Medicago truncatula: one gene and its partner. The protein of the gene in region 1 binds, or shares a complex with, the protein of each later gene. Links are inferred from orthologs where the notes say so. Each region holds a gene or a part of one and is shown on either strand. Other genes may lie near its edges.

Evidence for each region.
Region 2: the proteins of probable inactive ATP-dependent zinc metalloprotease FTSHI 5, chloroplastic (region 1) and probable inactive ATP-dependent zinc metalloprotease FTSHI 1, chloroplastic are in contact, whole or in part, in a cryo-EM structure (PDB 8XKV), measured with the Arabidopsis thaliana proteins. The link is inferred for Medicago truncatula from reciprocal best matches to the Arabidopsis thaliana genes emb2458 and FtsHi1. Residues at the interface, in NP_187084.6 of Arabidopsis thaliana: Arg815, Gln902, Lys934, Glu938, Arg942, Pro943, Asp947, Arg948, Thr1148, Glu1149, Ser1150, Arg1151, Ser1152, Leu1154, Gln1198, Tyr1199, Trp1201, Asp1205, Pro1207, Ala1208, Val1209, Tyr1210, Tyr1211, Ala1212, Asn1214, Ala1215, Val1216, Ser1217, Ala1218, Leu1219; in NP_567691.1 of Arabidopsis thaliana: Ser497, Val500, Glu653, Leu656, Arg660, Leu678, Arg684, Gln692, Gly693, Arg696, Arg697, Gly731, Gln732, Leu763, Arg766, Val771, Ile772, Tyr773, Gly774, Ser775, Asp776, Thr777, Ser778, Lys779, Ala780, Val782, Leu785, Ser786, Ser789, Arg793.

The regions. Positions count from the first base shown.
Region 1 is NC_053042.1:39,649,512-39,658,484, reverse strand, and holds the start of probable inactive ATP-dependent zinc metalloprotease FTSHI 5, chloroplastic, read right to left. Parts: upstream 3,543-8,973; 5' UTR 3,440-3,542; coding exon 2,562-3,439; intron 1,832-2,561; coding exon 1,552-1,831; intron 1,193-1,551; coding exon 992-1,192; intron 899-991; coding exon 605-898; intron 510-604; coding exon 243-509; intron 1-242. UniProt on the Arabidopsis thaliana protein: Required for plastid development during embryogenesis. Might be involved in chaperone functions or play a structural role in the thylakoid FtsH complex.
Region 2 is NC_053049.1:46,229,601-46,237,911, forward strand, and holds the start of probable inactive ATP-dependent zinc metalloprotease FTSHI 1, chloroplastic, read left to right. Parts: upstream 1-4,642; 5' UTR 4,643-4,855; coding exon 4,856-5,475; intron 5,476-5,595; coding exon 5,596-5,683; intron 5,684-6,323; coding exon 6,324-6,758; intron 6,759-6,868; coding exon 6,869-6,922; intron 6,923-7,039; coding exon 7,040-7,105; intron 7,106-7,705; coding exon 7,706-7,801; intron 7,802-7,879; coding exon 7,880-8,008; intron 8,009-8,311. Other genes in the region: protein MAIN-LIKE 1-like, read right to left, coding at 723-1,124. UniProt on the Arabidopsis thaliana protein: Functions in chloroplast biogenesis and chloroplast division. Required for plastid development during embryogenesis. Might be involved in chaperone functions or play a structural role in the thylakoid FtsH complex.

The DNA of each region.
Region 1 (8,973 bases):
CCATGGTCTCTGTCGTAAGATCTATGTATTTATTTATCTATCTGTCCATCTGTCTACCTATCTATCTATGTAGAGAGAGAGAACTAACAAACTATATACATCATTCAACCTAAAACAACAAAGAGATGCAGATATATAAAAGCAGAAGTTACAAACTACACTTTTAGCTCCACCCTTCAAAAAAAAAGGAAATTTGATATCATGAGGTTGAGCGTATGCTAACTGCAAGAGCAAACTTATACCATTTGCTCAAGTTTCCTCCTATTCGGATTTTTTTGGATAGGACCATAACCAAGAAGTCTTGGAATTTTTCTCCTCATAAATTGGAACACGTTAATCAAAACAAATCCTGAAATAGCAGCTCTTGCGATAAACAACATGATCCATCGAAAATCACCATCTGCTCGTCTGGATTGAACTCTTGCTTCTGCATTTAATTGCCAGTTCAAGTACCATGGAGTGTTCATTGTCTCTTCCTCTGGCCAAGCCATTCCCAATTTTACCCTCACCTGTATCATAAATAATACAACAAATGTTTCAAAAACTTATTATTCCAAACCAATAACCTGAATTAGCACATGGCGAGTTTTGGGCTCAAGGATACCGGGTTAGGGAGTATATATTCCACAATAGGAAACCCTATCACTGTCATTATGTCATCAGTCATTTCCTTAATATTGTCAAAGATCAAATTTGTTGTAGTCAAGACAGTTTCGGAATTCCACCGGCCACTCAAAAATCGAAGAGGGAACCTTAATATCACAGAAATCCGTTGGTGCACACTTAACTCTGACAACGGAATCCACATTAGATGAACAGCTGTTGGAATACCACAGGCTAGCATTTTCCTATATAGCACATCAAAACCCCCAATATATTCAAAAAGCCTTTCGAATTCCTGAAATATGAAAGCAAACAAATAATCACCATACAAGAAATTTAAAATAAATAAGAAATAGAAGAATATACACAGATGCATACACAGTTATACCTTTATGTCTACATAAAACTCTTTGTCCTCCCCCTTCAATGCAATATACATTGCACGCCCATCATACCTAATCCGAACATGCTCTATTAGCTTTTTTGAGACAGCATGAGGAACAGCCACTGGATCCATCTCCCATCTATTTTTCTCTTCATTGTACCAAGTCTTTGACACTACCCTATCTCGGTCCAAAAGAATCCTTTCCTGCAATGGATAAGTAGTGAGTAGTGAAAGGAACGCACTAATGCCTTCCGATGTGCAGAAAAACATATGTTAAAAATAATATATCCACCATCAACACCTCAACATTGATGGGCAGAAAAAAAAACATGAGAATCAAATATAATATATATGATATTTAACTAACAAGACAAAGATTATTATGCCTTCAAAAAAAGACAGATTATTATTAATGAATATCAAAGGGAACGAATTGCAATTTGCATCACAACTTGACCTGTCTAATCACCATTCTACTTAGTAAGCAGCATATAAGACATTTTTGTTTCTCGAATTCCAAAGAATTGTTCATAGAAAATACAAATAAGTAAACCCTTAATCACCTCTTCTTCAGGTGAGTACACAACACTACGCTTTTCCTTGTCATACTGCATATCTTTCCTTATCTGGGCCTCTAAATTCTTCTGCTGCTCCCTTGAGTCTTTGAGACTTCTTTCTAAATGTTGGGCAAAATCAACAGAGTCTTGATGAAAGAATGGCCCGAGATCATCAACATCCACAATGCTAGGAAGAATAGTTTGCTCTATTTGCTTTCTTTGCACAGTTTCCAAGTCTTCTTGAATGACGGATTTTGATAGCTTGTTAACTGAGCTTGCGAATGAACTGCAACCACATGAAAAACGTTTGCATAATCACATACAGTTTCAACAGAGTTGTAGGAAAAACTAACTAGCATGACAAGACATTATGCAACGAACCAAGCTATTGCATCCAACATTGAAAACAAATTGTGTCGCTGTCAATCAAATCGATTAAGATAACAACAGTTTTATACGATCTTAATTCTAAGATATTCCAATTCAAACACAATTTCAAGATATAAGATTCAGTCCCAGTCAAGATGTAAAGTCAACTTCTCTCTACAAGACTTCAACTAAGCACTTCGGCCAAGTAAATAAACAACGGTAACAAGATACTACAAATATTCCAAAATTATTAAATAGTAGAGAAGTCACTGCCTAAAAAACCTAAAATCCATTCTTAATTTAACTTTTTTTTCCTTCTGAAAACTCGGTATCTGGTCCAAGGACCGAGTAATCCAGGAGACCCATTTCACCATCCACTGGCTCGGGCCAAATTGAAGCCAGAGCAAAACCTATATGGACTGGCCCAACTCAATAAATGTTAGCACCTAGAGAAGAGCACACTCTTTATGTCCCAAGTCATATACCACCAGGCCACTCCCTTAACTTAACTATTTATCAAATAAAACCTCCATATCCATATAATTACACATAGAAAACTACAAGTAATAATGAATACAAACACACATGACATGTGATTAGTGTTAAAAATGAATGCATTATCAAGCTATCGAATCATAGAATTCAACCTTCCGATTTTCTTCTGTTTGATTTCTTGTTTAAATCTCTCCACCAAGTTCTCACATTCCCTCTGGATAAAACAAATCTCCAACACCCCATAACTCAACGCCACCGTCTCTTTCCTCGAAATGACATCCTCCATTTCATCAATTTTCACTAAAATCTCATTCCATTTCTTCTCCAACTCCACCATTCTCTTGTCCAACACCTTCTTCTCCACCTCATTCACTACATTATCCTTCATATCCATCTCCCAGCCCATCAATTTTCTATGCTCCCTGTTCACTTCCGCCATCTGCCAACTAATCTCACCTTCCTTTATCTGCAACAACCTCAACTCCTCCTTCAAATCCATCAAAACCGGATGCATCCTCTCGAGAATCTCTTTCTCCATTTCATATTTCTTCAATTTCACAAACTCCAAAGCTCGTTTCACATCTTCAAAATCACCGTTCCCTTTCCTAACCTCTTCAATAGTCCTCAACAAACTCGGCACAGTATCCAACACTTTTTGCGTGCAATCAGAATACTCGTGTTGATTCTTGTTCTCTTTGTTCTTACTCAAAAATTGAACCCAAGGTATCGTCGGAAGTGCAAACGCGGGCGCAATTTGGAATGTTCCGAAGGTGGAAACACCGACGGCGAAACAGAATAAAGCGCGAAGAATGAGTTGTTTTGTTAAGCAGCATTGGGATAAAACAAGAGTTGAGTTTGTTGGTTGGGATAAAACGGTGTGGTTGTTTTGTTGATTTGCGGAGAGAGTGATGGAAGCGCGTGGTGGTTTGAAGAGGAGTGTATGATTTGGAAGGGGGCGGAAAGAGGTGAAAGGAAGGTGTGATGGAAATCGAAGAGGTGGTGAAGAAGAAGAATAGAGAATGGAATCCATGAATCAGTTTAGATATACATTGAATTTGAGTTTGAGTAGCAGCGTTATCCTGAGATTTTTGAACGAAAGGGGTTTTAGGGAAGAACACCAGAGAAGAGAGACTGACTATTATCATCTAACATCATTTAAATTAGATTTTTATAACCGATTAATTTTAAGTTTTTTTTAGATATTAGTCTAAATTTTTTTAAGGGTTAATTAAATTTTTGGTCCCTATAAATATCTGCAGTTTTGTTTTTAATCCTTATAAAAATAAATCACACTTTTTAGTCCCTACAAAATTTTCCGTTAATGTTTTTAGTCCATGTTAAATTAAAATTTGTTTAATTATGCTTAAAATTTTAAATTTTTTAATGATTTTTTACATACTTGTTTAAAACATTATAAAAGGTTCCGCCAAAATAAATTAACTCAAAATTTTATTTTTAGGTCCAAATTTTCGTTAGTTTTATCTTGAATTTTTGGCGTTTTAAAAAAATTATATGTAATTCATTACATGTTAAAAAATTCTAATTTTTTATAAAAGAGATTATTATAATGTTCTTAACATGTATGTTAAAAATCATTTAAAAATATAAAATTTTAAGCATAATTAAACAAATTTTAATTTAACAGGGACTAAAAACACTAATGGAAAATTTTATAGGTACTAAAAAGTGTGATTTATTTTTATAAGGACTAAAAACAAAACTGCAGATATTTATAGGGACCAAAAACTTAATTAACCCTAGAATATTTACACCATTATTAATTTTTTCAATTCACTTCGTTATAAAGTACTTATAAATTGTTTTACATTAAATTGATAAGTCTAAAAGTATTTATGATATCAAACATGATTACTTAGCCACGTATTATTCTTCTTTTTTATTTTGTTTTTTGACAAATTCTTCTTCTTGTTTTTTAATTGGGTTAAATAAGTTTTTTATCCCTATAAATATAGTAAAATTTATTTTTGCTCCTCGTAAAAAAAGGGCATGTTTTGATCCATATAAAAAAATTCAACGCATACTTTTAGTCCTTGTAAAATTAAAATTTATTTGATTGTGTTTGAATTTTTAAATTTTTGAATGATTTTTAACATGCTTATTTATAACATTATATAGAGTTCTCTGCAAAAAAAATATTAGCTCAAAATTTGATTTTAGGTCCAAATTTTCATTACTTTCATTTTAAATTTTTTACATTTGAAAAAACTCATGTTTAATTTATTACATGTTAAAAAAATATGATTTTTTCATAAACAAAGTATCTTATAATGATTTCAACGTGTCTATACAAAATTATTCAAAAAATTATAAGTTTAATCAATAAATTTTTATTTAACAGAACAAAAATTTTGTGCTGGAAATTTTCATAGGGATCAAAATATGTTATTTTTTTATAAGGACTAAACACAAAATTTGCTATAAAATTTAATCCTTTTGAATTCAAGTTTAATTCTATGGATAAATATTTCATCAACGGTATTATAAATCAAGTGACCGATCAAATATTATTTCAAATCAAAACTAAATAATGCATGTACGAACCTTGTTATTGTGAGCGGTGAATTTGAAAATATAAACTTAACATTAAACATTTACATAAAAACTTTTTAACCGAGTTTGATAAAAATAGATTAATGATGTGAATATTTTATGATTTAAGCGATCAATCTGTAACAAAAAAAAACCTAGTCTTAAACGAGCGCAGACGTATTTGGCCAAAATTATTTCAGGTTGTGACTAAGAATTCACATTTTTAAGATTAATAATTGAGGTGTCTGGGATTTGAACTTCACACTTGCATGTATTATACAATATCCCTATTAATTGAGTTAAAACTTTTTCTTCTACTTGGTAAAATTAAAACATTGTTCCTTTTAGACTATAATTTTTTCTTCTTCTTTAATTTAATTGAGGTGTCTGATGTGTGATTTACGGTTTGAATTGAGAGTGGAATTTATGAATGTTTGAGATTAAATATTTTTGCCTTCGTAGTTTTGAGATAGATGCGAACCCTTCACATCATTATAATTTCAAATATTTATATGTTTAATCTTGATTTTAAATTCACTAAAAGATTAGGGGTTATCTCAAGGTTAAAGGTTTAGTCGCTGAGAGACTAGAATTACACAATCTAGAAAACTAATAGCAACATGAAGAATGAATTCAGCTTATAGAATCAGATTAATAGTGCAAAGTTAGTAACCAAGTCATACTCATCCCTGAAACATTTTTATTATAGTTGACTTTTATTCAAGTTTCGTTGTTGAAAAAAATTACAAACAACATACTCGTACCTTTTTCTTCAACTAAGTTCTAAAACTACAGTTCGACAGTACATCGCAATCCTTGAATTCGACACTCGGTCTTACCGTTTTAAGTTTACCACTTGCCCGATTTCGTACACTTGCGAAAATCGCTATCAATCACCATCATCAAATATTAAGGACATCAGATGTATGTTACTGATTTTATCCACACCATCGTAAAATACAACATCGTTAGATAGACTGGGCCATGAATGCATGAATACTAAAAGACCACATCAACATATATCATCAAATATTCATCATTGATTCGTCTTTATATCAACACATCTATAACACATTTTTATATCAACACATCCATAACACATCTTCGTATATCACAACTCTACATACACATTTCCAATTTCCACTTCTTACAATTATACATTATATTCACATCATTAAATAACCATCACAACCTGTCATTTACTAATTTACCAATTCAATTCATCATCTAATTTCTATTATCGAAATTGCTAAGTTTCTCTACTCATACTCACTCATTACCAATGAAAATTATTTCATTAAGTCCATCTTCCTATCATTTGAATACGTTACTGCATACTAAGGTTATTTCATCGACTATACTGAAACATGTTCTAAGTTTCATCCTCAAAACCTTTCTGACCATCATAATCCTTATTCCAATCTAACTTATTATCATTAATTCATCTTAAACAATTTCACCAGTTTAATTGTTCATTATGGTCGTACACACTTCTATCTATCTCTATCTTAGCCTTATTATTGTTTTAATAATGTTTTAGAGTCCATTGAAGGATTTATGTTGAAATTCCACAAAAACGCAATATGCCTCATTTGTAGTATTTTAATCACATCTCAAGTTGTAGATGTCTAAATGGAGTCAAACCAAAAACAAATAAAAGTTAACATTCATACCTACAATTTTCATGAAGACACCTAAACTAAATTAAGATCAGAAAAGGGTGGAAATAACCCATTAGTGGTTCATATATGAATAAACACCAATGATAATTCTATGTCAATAGAGATAGTTACATTAACAAATTGTTGGCACATGAAAGTGATTTGATAAAACTAACAAACCTTTAGGAATTATAGAGTCTAGTCTCTCCCAAACCAACTCGTATACATAATATATGATATCCTCCTTTTTCACTTTCAACCTATATTTATAATTCTGATTACCAACAACAGTTACAAGCGGTTACTACACAAAGAATATTTAATACTACTACTACTAATAATAATAATAATAATAACAATAATAAAATAAACTGTCAGTTCTAACTATAGTCCTCCAAAAAAATATTCACTTTGTCCTCAAGGTAAATGATTATAGAAGTCTCCACCATGGTCATATAATTCACAAATTTGGTTTAGGGGCAATTTGTGAGATCTAATCAATCAACCACTGGTTCAAAAAGGAGTTTCTTTGTCGTGTTTATGTTAACTTCTTTATTGGCTGAAACGTTTGCGAAGACGCTAATTTGATGGTCCCGATCTAATACGCAGGTTCATGAAGGCAATGCAATGGTGTTGTTGAATGCGACGCATTGGATTCAGAAGATAGGAATACAAAGTGTGACATTACTTATTGATTCAAAAATATCCATGTTAGAACTGGAAAAAATAATTTGAATATTAGATTTCTATCAATATCAAGTTGCAAGGAGACAAACAAATACGAAAACTCATTATTTAGCTAAAACGACAATTTCTTTTGCCAATCACCAAGTTTTTGACTATGTCTCTTCTTGTATTAACCATTGACTGAATAATGAAATGAGTTGATTTTGTCTGATTTGAAAAAACTTTAATATCAACTAGATTTTTTTTCTCGACAAATATATAAAATATATCTTTAATTAGACTAGTAGACCACACAACACTTTCTAAAAGTCAAGACACACGTACAAAAATAAATGACTTAAAAAACCGCGATCGTATCACAATTTGTTTTAAATCGTTAGATCTTACGTTATCGAACACACATGTTGTAACATCCCGATATTTTTAGATATTATTTATGGCCTTCAAAATATTTTTTTTATAGATTTATAATTTACTAATGATGCGTTAGGAGTGTAAGGAAACTCTTATAACTTTGGAGCCTATTTATTTTATTGGTGGAATATAATATTTTTACTCAATTTATACTACTAATAATTTGACCATGAGCTTCTCTATTATTTGCTCGGTCAGAGGACATGTTTCCCTCATTATTCACTCTTGTTAATTAGCTTAAGAGCATGTCTTGCTAAATATTAGGAATTCACACTTCACGTATCAAATACTTTCCATAATTATGCTATGAATAGTTCATAACTTGACTAATTAGTAATTAGGGTAGTTAGTGGCATTTACGGTTCCTCCATAACCATAACCCACATTTAGGATTGATTGAGTGGAGTATTATTCTCTTAAGTAGTTATTTTAGTCCATCTCAATTCATATTGCAAAATCCCTTATATGTTTCTCTAACTCTCGTAACCGTGCTACTTGTCAGTCTCACATCATCAAAATATTATAACTCATTTTCATGCCTCTTCATCCTAATTATTCATTATGTTGGTATGTGATGTACCTCACGTTTTCTTCTCTGGCCATGTAATTCAATCTCTCTCACTTTTCTCTTTAATTTCATGACCCTCTTTTGATATATCCCACACCATCCTCTTGATTTACCTTACGGCTCCAAACAAGATCCATGGCCATTAATTTTGTTCATGCTTATTCCTGTAACTATCATTCATCAAATAGTTTTTTCAAGTATAGTTGCTTCCGTTCCATGTTTCGTGTGACACAAAGGTAACCCCTTTCCAACCATTCCTATATATTCTTCCTATTTCTATTTTGTCTCTAATTTTAGGATTTATGTTTTTGAAGCTTTGAACTATTTCTCTTGCAAATTGTCTGTGAGGTTGTTGAGTTTCCACGTTTGAAAAACAAGTCTTAGAGGTAAGGGCTTTTTCCCCATACGTCCATACTAAGTACTAGGATTATGTTATGAATTAGAGGTAGAGATTCTTGTATGTTGAAAAGAACAAAACAACTAAAATATGAATTTATATGGTAAAATTTAACCTTTTATAAAAAAGTTATTAGTTTAACTATATTTTATATGATGTGTGTATGATAATGTTATGTGGAATGACATTTATTTTATTTTTCTATGCATATATGTTTTTGTGGTATTGTTAATGAAGTGTTAGACTTTGTAGATAAACTAAATAAATGAAAATATAGAAATATGTGT
Region 2 (8,311 bases), on another chromosome or scaffold:
ATGACGGATGTCTGAGAACATCTTGTACATAGAAAAGCTACCTCTTTACCCGCACAGGTAAATGACGGTATACCATCTCCTTCCCGCTCATCAGTCATCCCGAGTAAGTGACAATAAGCTGAAAATGGCGCATCTCTCTGTGATCACCATAAGTAGAAAACCTGACATCATCCACCTCTAAGCGATCAAGCAGTAAGCGATAATGGTGCATATCTGTATGCCCTCTGCTAGTAAGTCATTTCCCAACACATGGTCTCTCTGGCTTCCAGCTCTTGTTTTTCTTCCTTGGGTACGGACCTGGCAAATGCTTCAAAATCCATCCATGTAACAAATAAATAAAATACATTATAAAAGCTTCACATAAATATTTAAATTAAATCCTAAATAAATGTAGTCTAACTTAGGAAAAAATAATCTAACATGATAATAAAAATTATAAAATAAATTCATAAAGAAATATAGATAAATATCAAATTATTATCATAAAAAGAGTGGTACTCACAACCATCGTTCTGTTATTCAGAATAACAGAATCATCCAGATAGTCGTACAGGTAAGCTAAGGTCATCCCTCTCCATGATCACTTCCCAATCGCCTGCAAGTTCGCCATACAATCAAGATATATCAAGTCGATGTGTCTGTTCGTTTTGTTAGTGAACAACGCGCAACCGACGAGATATAGAAGGAAACCCCTCACACACCACACCCTCCTCCTGCCTCTCTCATGATGCTCCTCCCTCGTCTGTGGCTCCTCCAGCCGTGGGATAACTAATATGACCAGCAGACTCAGTCCTAACCTCAGCCCTAGCATCAGCATCTGACATGCCCAACAACCTGATCATCAAATCAATCGCACGGTCCCGATCCATTGCCTCGTCGTGGTCCAACATGCGGCCGTGAATATGAATGTGTAGGAGATTATGCACATCATCCAAAGTGATCGTCATCTCCCCCACAGGTAGATGAAAACTACTGGTCTCCATGTGCCACCTCTCGCACATAGCACGTATCATGGCATGGGTGACACTAGAATATCCCGTGTATATCAAATCATGTAAGCCAGACCCCTCCACAGGCTCCCAAAACCACCTCAAACCCGCCTCCGGCTTACCAAGCTCTTTCATCTTTTTCCTTGCATTTATACACTTGTAACCCGTCTAATCATGCCACATCTGAAATTCAAATTAATTAAGACATTGTCACTATTTTATATAATTAAAACACTTACGCTACATAATATTATATAATTAAAACACTAACGCTACATTCTTTTAAATAATTAAAACACTTACGCTACATAATATTATATAATTAAAACACTAATGCTACATAATATTATATAATTAATACACCAACGCTGCATTCTTTTAAATAATTAAAACACTTACGCTACATAATATTATATAAACACTAACGCTACATTCTTTTAAATAATTAAAACACTTACGCTACATAATAATAAATAATTAAAACATGTACGCTACATTCTTTTAAATAATCACTTTAAAGCATTTAAAGAATTTTAAACAATTTAAACACTTACATTATGATGGTTCACCCAAAGAGGGTTCGCCATGTGCCTCGCGTAGTTGGACAATAGTGATGTGGTCTCAGGTCCTCAAGGAAAGGGAGGCCCTCCAACAAGATATGGCGGTATGGGCGGAATACGACGACGTCGTCGCTGAGTCTGAGGCTCAGGCTCACCCTCAAGAATAATATTCTCTGCCTCAAGATAATCCGCCACAACATCATCTGGCACCTCCTCATCCTCTGCCTCGTCCTGCGGCGGGTAAAACATTATATCCTCCTCCATCCGATCATATCCAACAAAACCCTCCTCATACACAGCCTTATCATGTGCCGATGTCGGATCAACCACCTGGGAGGAGTAATCCATCTGTGAATGTGAACCCGACCCATCTCCTCCACCTATCCTCAAGTCCCTACGTCTCCGGGTCTTTGGAACACACGGGTGTTCAACCTCCATCTCCTTTCGAACGCTATTTGTCATAGCAGGTTTACCTTTGCGCACCCTACCCTCTCTAATACGCCGCTCCCGCGCATCCTCCTTATTAGCCATATCTGTACAAAAACAAATTAAAAGAAGACATAAAAATTCAAATATTATGTAACATGTAACATTATATCATAAAAATTATCCAAACATTATATCATAAAAATCCAAGCTATTGAACCTAAGACAAGTAACATGTAACATGTCACAAATTTTACTTAGACATTCATAAAAATTCAAACTTAGAATCATTCAACTTGGGCATTTCATAAAAAAAAATTACGTATCGTATAAAATTATGTCATTCTTAAACTTGCAAAAAAATGTCAAAATCCGACCTTATAATAATTAGGCTTATTAGATCGTTTGGTCCCTTATTTAATTTCATGTTTTCATTTTGGTCCCACAATTAATAAAAGTGGCGTTTTGATCCCCCACGTTTGTCTCCGTTTGCCAAATAAATCCGACTGTTAATTTTAACCCCAAATGATGTCTTTGGTGGACCAACCTTAAAAGTGGTCCACCATAGATCCTATTAATTACTTTAATTTCAACCGTTTGATTTTTTCAAAAAAAAGAGAACCATTGAATTAGGCAGGTCTATGTGATTTTACGGTGAGTCAATAACATCTAATTAATTTTCTCTTTCTTCTTCTTCCCCACACTTCTTCATCATCACATTCATCAATACCATCATCATCTTCATCAACATTCCCGGGGGGAAAAAAAACAGAAATCCCAAAAATCTCAATTTCTTTTAAAAAAAAATCGATAGAATTTCTTTAAAAAAATTCTGCATCCTTCTCTTCTCTCTTTGATCCCTTCTTTGTATTCTTTCTCTTCTCTTTTCCTATAAACATAACAACCCATTCAACACTAAATGTTTTTTTTTCCAAACCCATAAATTCAAATCAAATCTGGAAATCTTCATCAAAACCCAAAGGCAACAATAACAACAACAACAACAAAATTCGAATTGAAATCCAAATCCAACAATAGTAACACCACCCTCCTCCGCGTCGCTCCGGCAACACCATCTGCACCGCTCTCTCTCCCCCTAAAAAAACCAGATCTACAAAAGAATTTAACATCGAAGAAGTTTTGAGTGAAGTAAGTTGAATGGTGAGTGAAGATTGAAAAAAATCAACAAAGTTGTTAATCTTCATCGTTTTTAATCTTTCCACTACCAACCACATAAACAAAGTTGTTAAACAGCCCAATATAGACATGCAAATTGAAAGAAATTCTCCAAACACCAACACCTGAATCCAAAATGGTCGACGAAGCAACATCGGAAACTTTATCGGAACAAATTGGGGCATGAATCTCAGAATTTGTGGTCTTATTAACGCGAAAGAGTTTAACGGTTCAGAAATTGTGAAAGTTATTAAGAGAAAGATTAATCATAAGAGTCCTGTTGTTCAGAAACATAGTCTTGATTTGTTGGAAACTGTTGCTATGAATTGTGATAAAGTGTTTTCTGAAATTGCTTCTGAGAAGGTTCTTGATGATATGTGAACGGAGGTGATGACGAATTTGAGTCTGGAATGTGGAGGAGTTTGGGAAATTAGTTTTATTTTTTTTATTTTTATGTTGAATGTTGTTGTTATGTTACTGTTGAATGTTGTTGTTATTTGTTGTTCTAATTTCTGTTTTGCGAAGAAGAAGAAGAGAAAGATGGAAGTTCAGTTTTGGACATGAAGAAGAAAGGGGTAAATTGGTAGTTACACATGTGTTTGGTCTCATTGAGGACAAAACAGTCCATTCACATGTGAAAATCTAACGGTTCCTTTTATGATAAATAGATCGAATGGTTAAAATTAACAAAATTAATAAGGTCTACGATGGACCACTTTTAAGGTTGGTCCACCAAAGACATTTGAAGTTAAAGTTAACAGTCGGGAATTATTTGGCAAACGGAGGAAAATATGAGGGATCAAAACGCCATTTTTATTAATTGTGAGACCAAAATGAAAACATGAAATTAAATAAGGGATCAAACGATCTAATAAGCCTAATAATTATAACATATATACATTATAAGATTTAACATATTTGGAAAAAAAATCACAAAAAAAGCAAGATTATTTTACTTAGGCATTTCATCAAACACCTTATGTGCATTTCAAAATACTAGCACAATTAGTGTTAATTCAACATCAAAAATTCAACTACGTTGTACCTAAACCTACTATAAACAACAATGCAAACATAAACAATCACTTACAACATCTAATTCTATCATAATTTGCAATTTTTAAACATAACCTAACCCTAAACATTTTGCTAAAATTATGAAAATAACACCCTAAATAACCTACATTGCATGTAAATAGGAAGAAAGGTTTGGGTGATTTATTTGAGGCAAATTGGATGATTTTCCTCCAAATGAAGGATTGGGTGAATTTTGATTAAATTTGGAAATGTTTGCATTCGTTTTTGTAAACCAGAAACGACAGTTTCTGCATTCTTAACTTACAGAATGCAACGACAGTTAATAACCGACAGTTTTTCCAACGATAATTACTACCGCTGGGGTTTTTTAATAAATTATTTGTGTCAATAAGAAGTATTCGATGTCCAAAAAAACAATTTCTTTATTTAATGTTTCATTCTCTCTTCACACACAAAATGGGGCATACAATCATCTTACCCGACCCGGTTAGAAAAACCATCTGAGATGAGGTTTATCGGATTGGGTGGGAAATGAAACCATTTTGCAATTTCTTCATCTTCTTCTTCTTCTTCTTCTTCGCGCATTTGCATTGTTCATCATTCTCAAAACCCTAATTCGATAAACTCTTTCAGTGTCACATTCATATATGAATTCACCATAACGCTATGAACATTTTCTGCTACCCCAGCAACAATTCCTATCACATTCACACTCACCACCATAAAACTCTTCATTCCAATCACAACAGAAAAACGCAATTTCTTATTCGTAAACCATTCACAGTTTTCTGCAAATCCTCTTCCAATTCCGATGCCGATGATTTCGTCAAACGAGTTTTAGAAGAAAATCCAAGCCAAGTCCCACCTAAATATCTAATCGGTAACAAGTTATATACTTCACAACAAAAAGACAATTTAGGTCAAAAATCAAATGAGGGTCTTTTTGATTTGTTGTTGAAGAGATTGAAGAATAATTCTCAGAGGAAAAGTGGTGAGCTTTATGAAGAGAGAGATGATTCTGTGTATTTGAATGATTTGCTTAAAGAGTATAAAGGGAAACTCTATGTTCCTGAACAGATTTTCGGTACACCGTTGTCCGAGGAGGAAGAGTTTAATGAGAATTTGAAAACTTTACCCAAAATGAGCGTTGAGGATTTTACTAAAGCTTTGAGTAAAGATAAGATTAAGTTGGTAACTTCTAAGGAAGATTATGGATATGGTTATAGGGATTATATTGTGGATTTGAAGGAAATTCCAGGTGATAAAAGATTGCAGGCGACGAAATGGTAAAAGAAAAATGAAAGTTGATGTTTTTGTTTGATTATATCCTATGTGGTTTTTATAGACTTTGTTCTGTGTGCATTGTGGTGTTGTGATAGATTGTGTGTGTGTGTGGAATTCTGTAGGGTTCTAAGGGTGGATAGCAGTGAAGCTCGAGCAATTTTGGAGGAATATTCTGGACCACGATATGAGATAGAGAGTCGTCGAATCACGGTTGTTGATCTATTTATTTGTAATACTTAAAAATTAATTTACGAGGCATTGACATTGTTGGTGCTAACAGGGGAAAATCAATTATTTTTGCTGTTTTTAAGTTTCATTTAATTTTTCCAAGGGTATGCGGCTTAGGAAAATGTTCTGTTTTAATTTCATATTTTCAGTTTTAATTACAAAACAGACTTAGGGCCCGTTTGGATTAACTTATTTTAGAGCTTATATAAAACAGCTTATGCAAATAAATAAGTTTTTATGTATTATTTATAAGTTTTTAAGGTAGTTTATGAAAAAACCGTTAATGAAGATACAATTTTCGTTAATGAGAGGTTATAAATTAAAATAAAAGCTTATTTATTTACATAAGCTATTTTTCATAAGCTCAAAATAAGCTTCCCCATACATATAGTTGAAAATTGGAAATAGACTTAAAAAGGAGTTGTATTGTTGAAATAAAAAATAAAAATAGAAAGCATTTTCTCAAGCCAAATAAATTTAAGTTACTATACATTTTCTTGCATAGTTTGTAGTTAGAGACTCATAGCTTAAGTCATTCAGCGTACTGAATAAATGGATAAAATCCTTTTGTAGGTGAACGTATTGCAATTGCTCTTTTAACTCTGAAATTATATTGTTGCAGTCTTGGGTGGGGAAAATGTCAGTGTCCCCTCATCCAGCTGCAGCTTCCATATCTAGCAGAGTGGTGGCCGAGCTTGGAGCGGTGACAGTCGTAGTGGGTTTAGCAGCACTTCTAGTTGGTGGCTTCCTTTCAGCAGCAGTATTTGTTGTCACCAGTTTTATATTTGTGACAACCGTCTATGTTGGATGGCCTATAGCCAAACCAATTCTTAAGTTTTCCCTTGGAGTTGCTGTTTCAATGCTGGAGAGGTTTTGGGATAGACTTCTTGACTTTTTCATGGACGGTGGCTTGTTGGCTAAGACTTATAATTTGTTGACTGTTGGTGGTTTAGCTTCCACCCTCGATGTCCTGAAAGTGACCCTGCCTATAGTTGTGGGTATGGTCCTTCTTGTTCGCTTCACTCTTTCAAGAAAACCCAAAAACTTCAGGAAGTGGGTAGGTGATTTAACTAAGTGATTCACTCATAAAGTTACGCATGAATTTTTGAGCCAATTTTGTTCAATGGATTTGGTGTACACTCTAAGAGATTTTAATTCAATATACAGGATCTATGGCAGGGAATGAACTTCTCATTATCAAAAGCTGAAGCTCGTGTTGATGTTTGTTAATGCCTATCTTTACATTAATCTCTCCATTTTTAAAGTCTTTTCATTTTTTATTTTTCTAGTCTTTTAATGTCATTCTTAGTTTCTGGATTTGGAAAAACATTCTTTCAGGGTTCAACTGGAATAAAGTTTTCTGACGTGGCTGGAATCGATGATGCTGTAGATGAACTTCAAGAGGTATGGATACATGGGTGGAGAGAGATTCGAGAGATGCTGGTCTCCCCACATTTAAAAACCTTTTTAAATAAATTTATATACGAGTTTATTGGAGATGCATTGTCGGTGTAAATTTAATGACAGCTTAGGGTCCATTGTCCACTCCCCCTCCCTCCCCAGTTCATTCATAATAGAGGCTTGGGCTGCAGGCAATTGCTCGTATAGTCCCAGCCCATTATTTTATGCAACTCTACTAGACCATCAAAACATCTCATTTTACTTTTGCTTTCTGGCTGATTCAGCAGCTCACAAATATGAAAGTTTCAACTTGATGCGTGGCTGCAGACAATTATGAACAGTCCATGACACTTCATAAAGAAAACATTGAAGAAGCCATAACTTATATTAACTTTTTAACGATTTTATACAATCATTTTGAATAATTTAACTTTTTTTATTGGTCAAGTTGGATAATTTAACTTTATCCCTCTCAATAGTTATTATTTCCTGGAATTTTCCACCTTTATTTTATTTCTGTTTTATGCCTCGTATTCGTAGTCTCTGCTTACTGTTTATTGTAGTGGGTGAAAACTTATGAAGGTTATGTATTGTTCTCTTTAGTTGGTGAAATACCTAAAAAATCCCGAGCTATTTGATAAAATGGGGATCAAACCCCCACATGGTGTTCTTCTGGAGGGCCCACCTGGATGTGGCAAGGTCAGATTGCTATTCCGCAGTTATGTTGGATGTTAGAATTTGTGTTATCTGTGATATGTTTTTGTCATGCTTTTGCAGACCTTGGTAGCCAAAGCTATAGCTGGTGAAGCTGGTGTTCCATTTTACCAAATGGCTGGATCAGAATTTGTGGAATTTTTAGTTGGTGTTGGTTCTGCACGTATAAGGGATTTGTTTAAAAGAGCCAAGGTGATTCTACGACTTTTTCTTTTGGATTTTTTTAAGCAGTGTATTGCTGCTAAAGTACAAATGCGATCACATGCTTGAATCCTGTCTTCTTGTTCCTTCACCCAATGTACATTTAACTTATTAAGCATCACATGCTACTGATTGTTCTGATCACAGAATCCATTAGTCTTCGTGAATGAGTAGGTGAATATATATATAGGACATATACTATGAGAATGAGTACTTTATATGAGAATGATGAGAATGATTATCAACCATTAGATCAAAAATAAATGGTTGTGATTAAAAAGTCACATATATGCC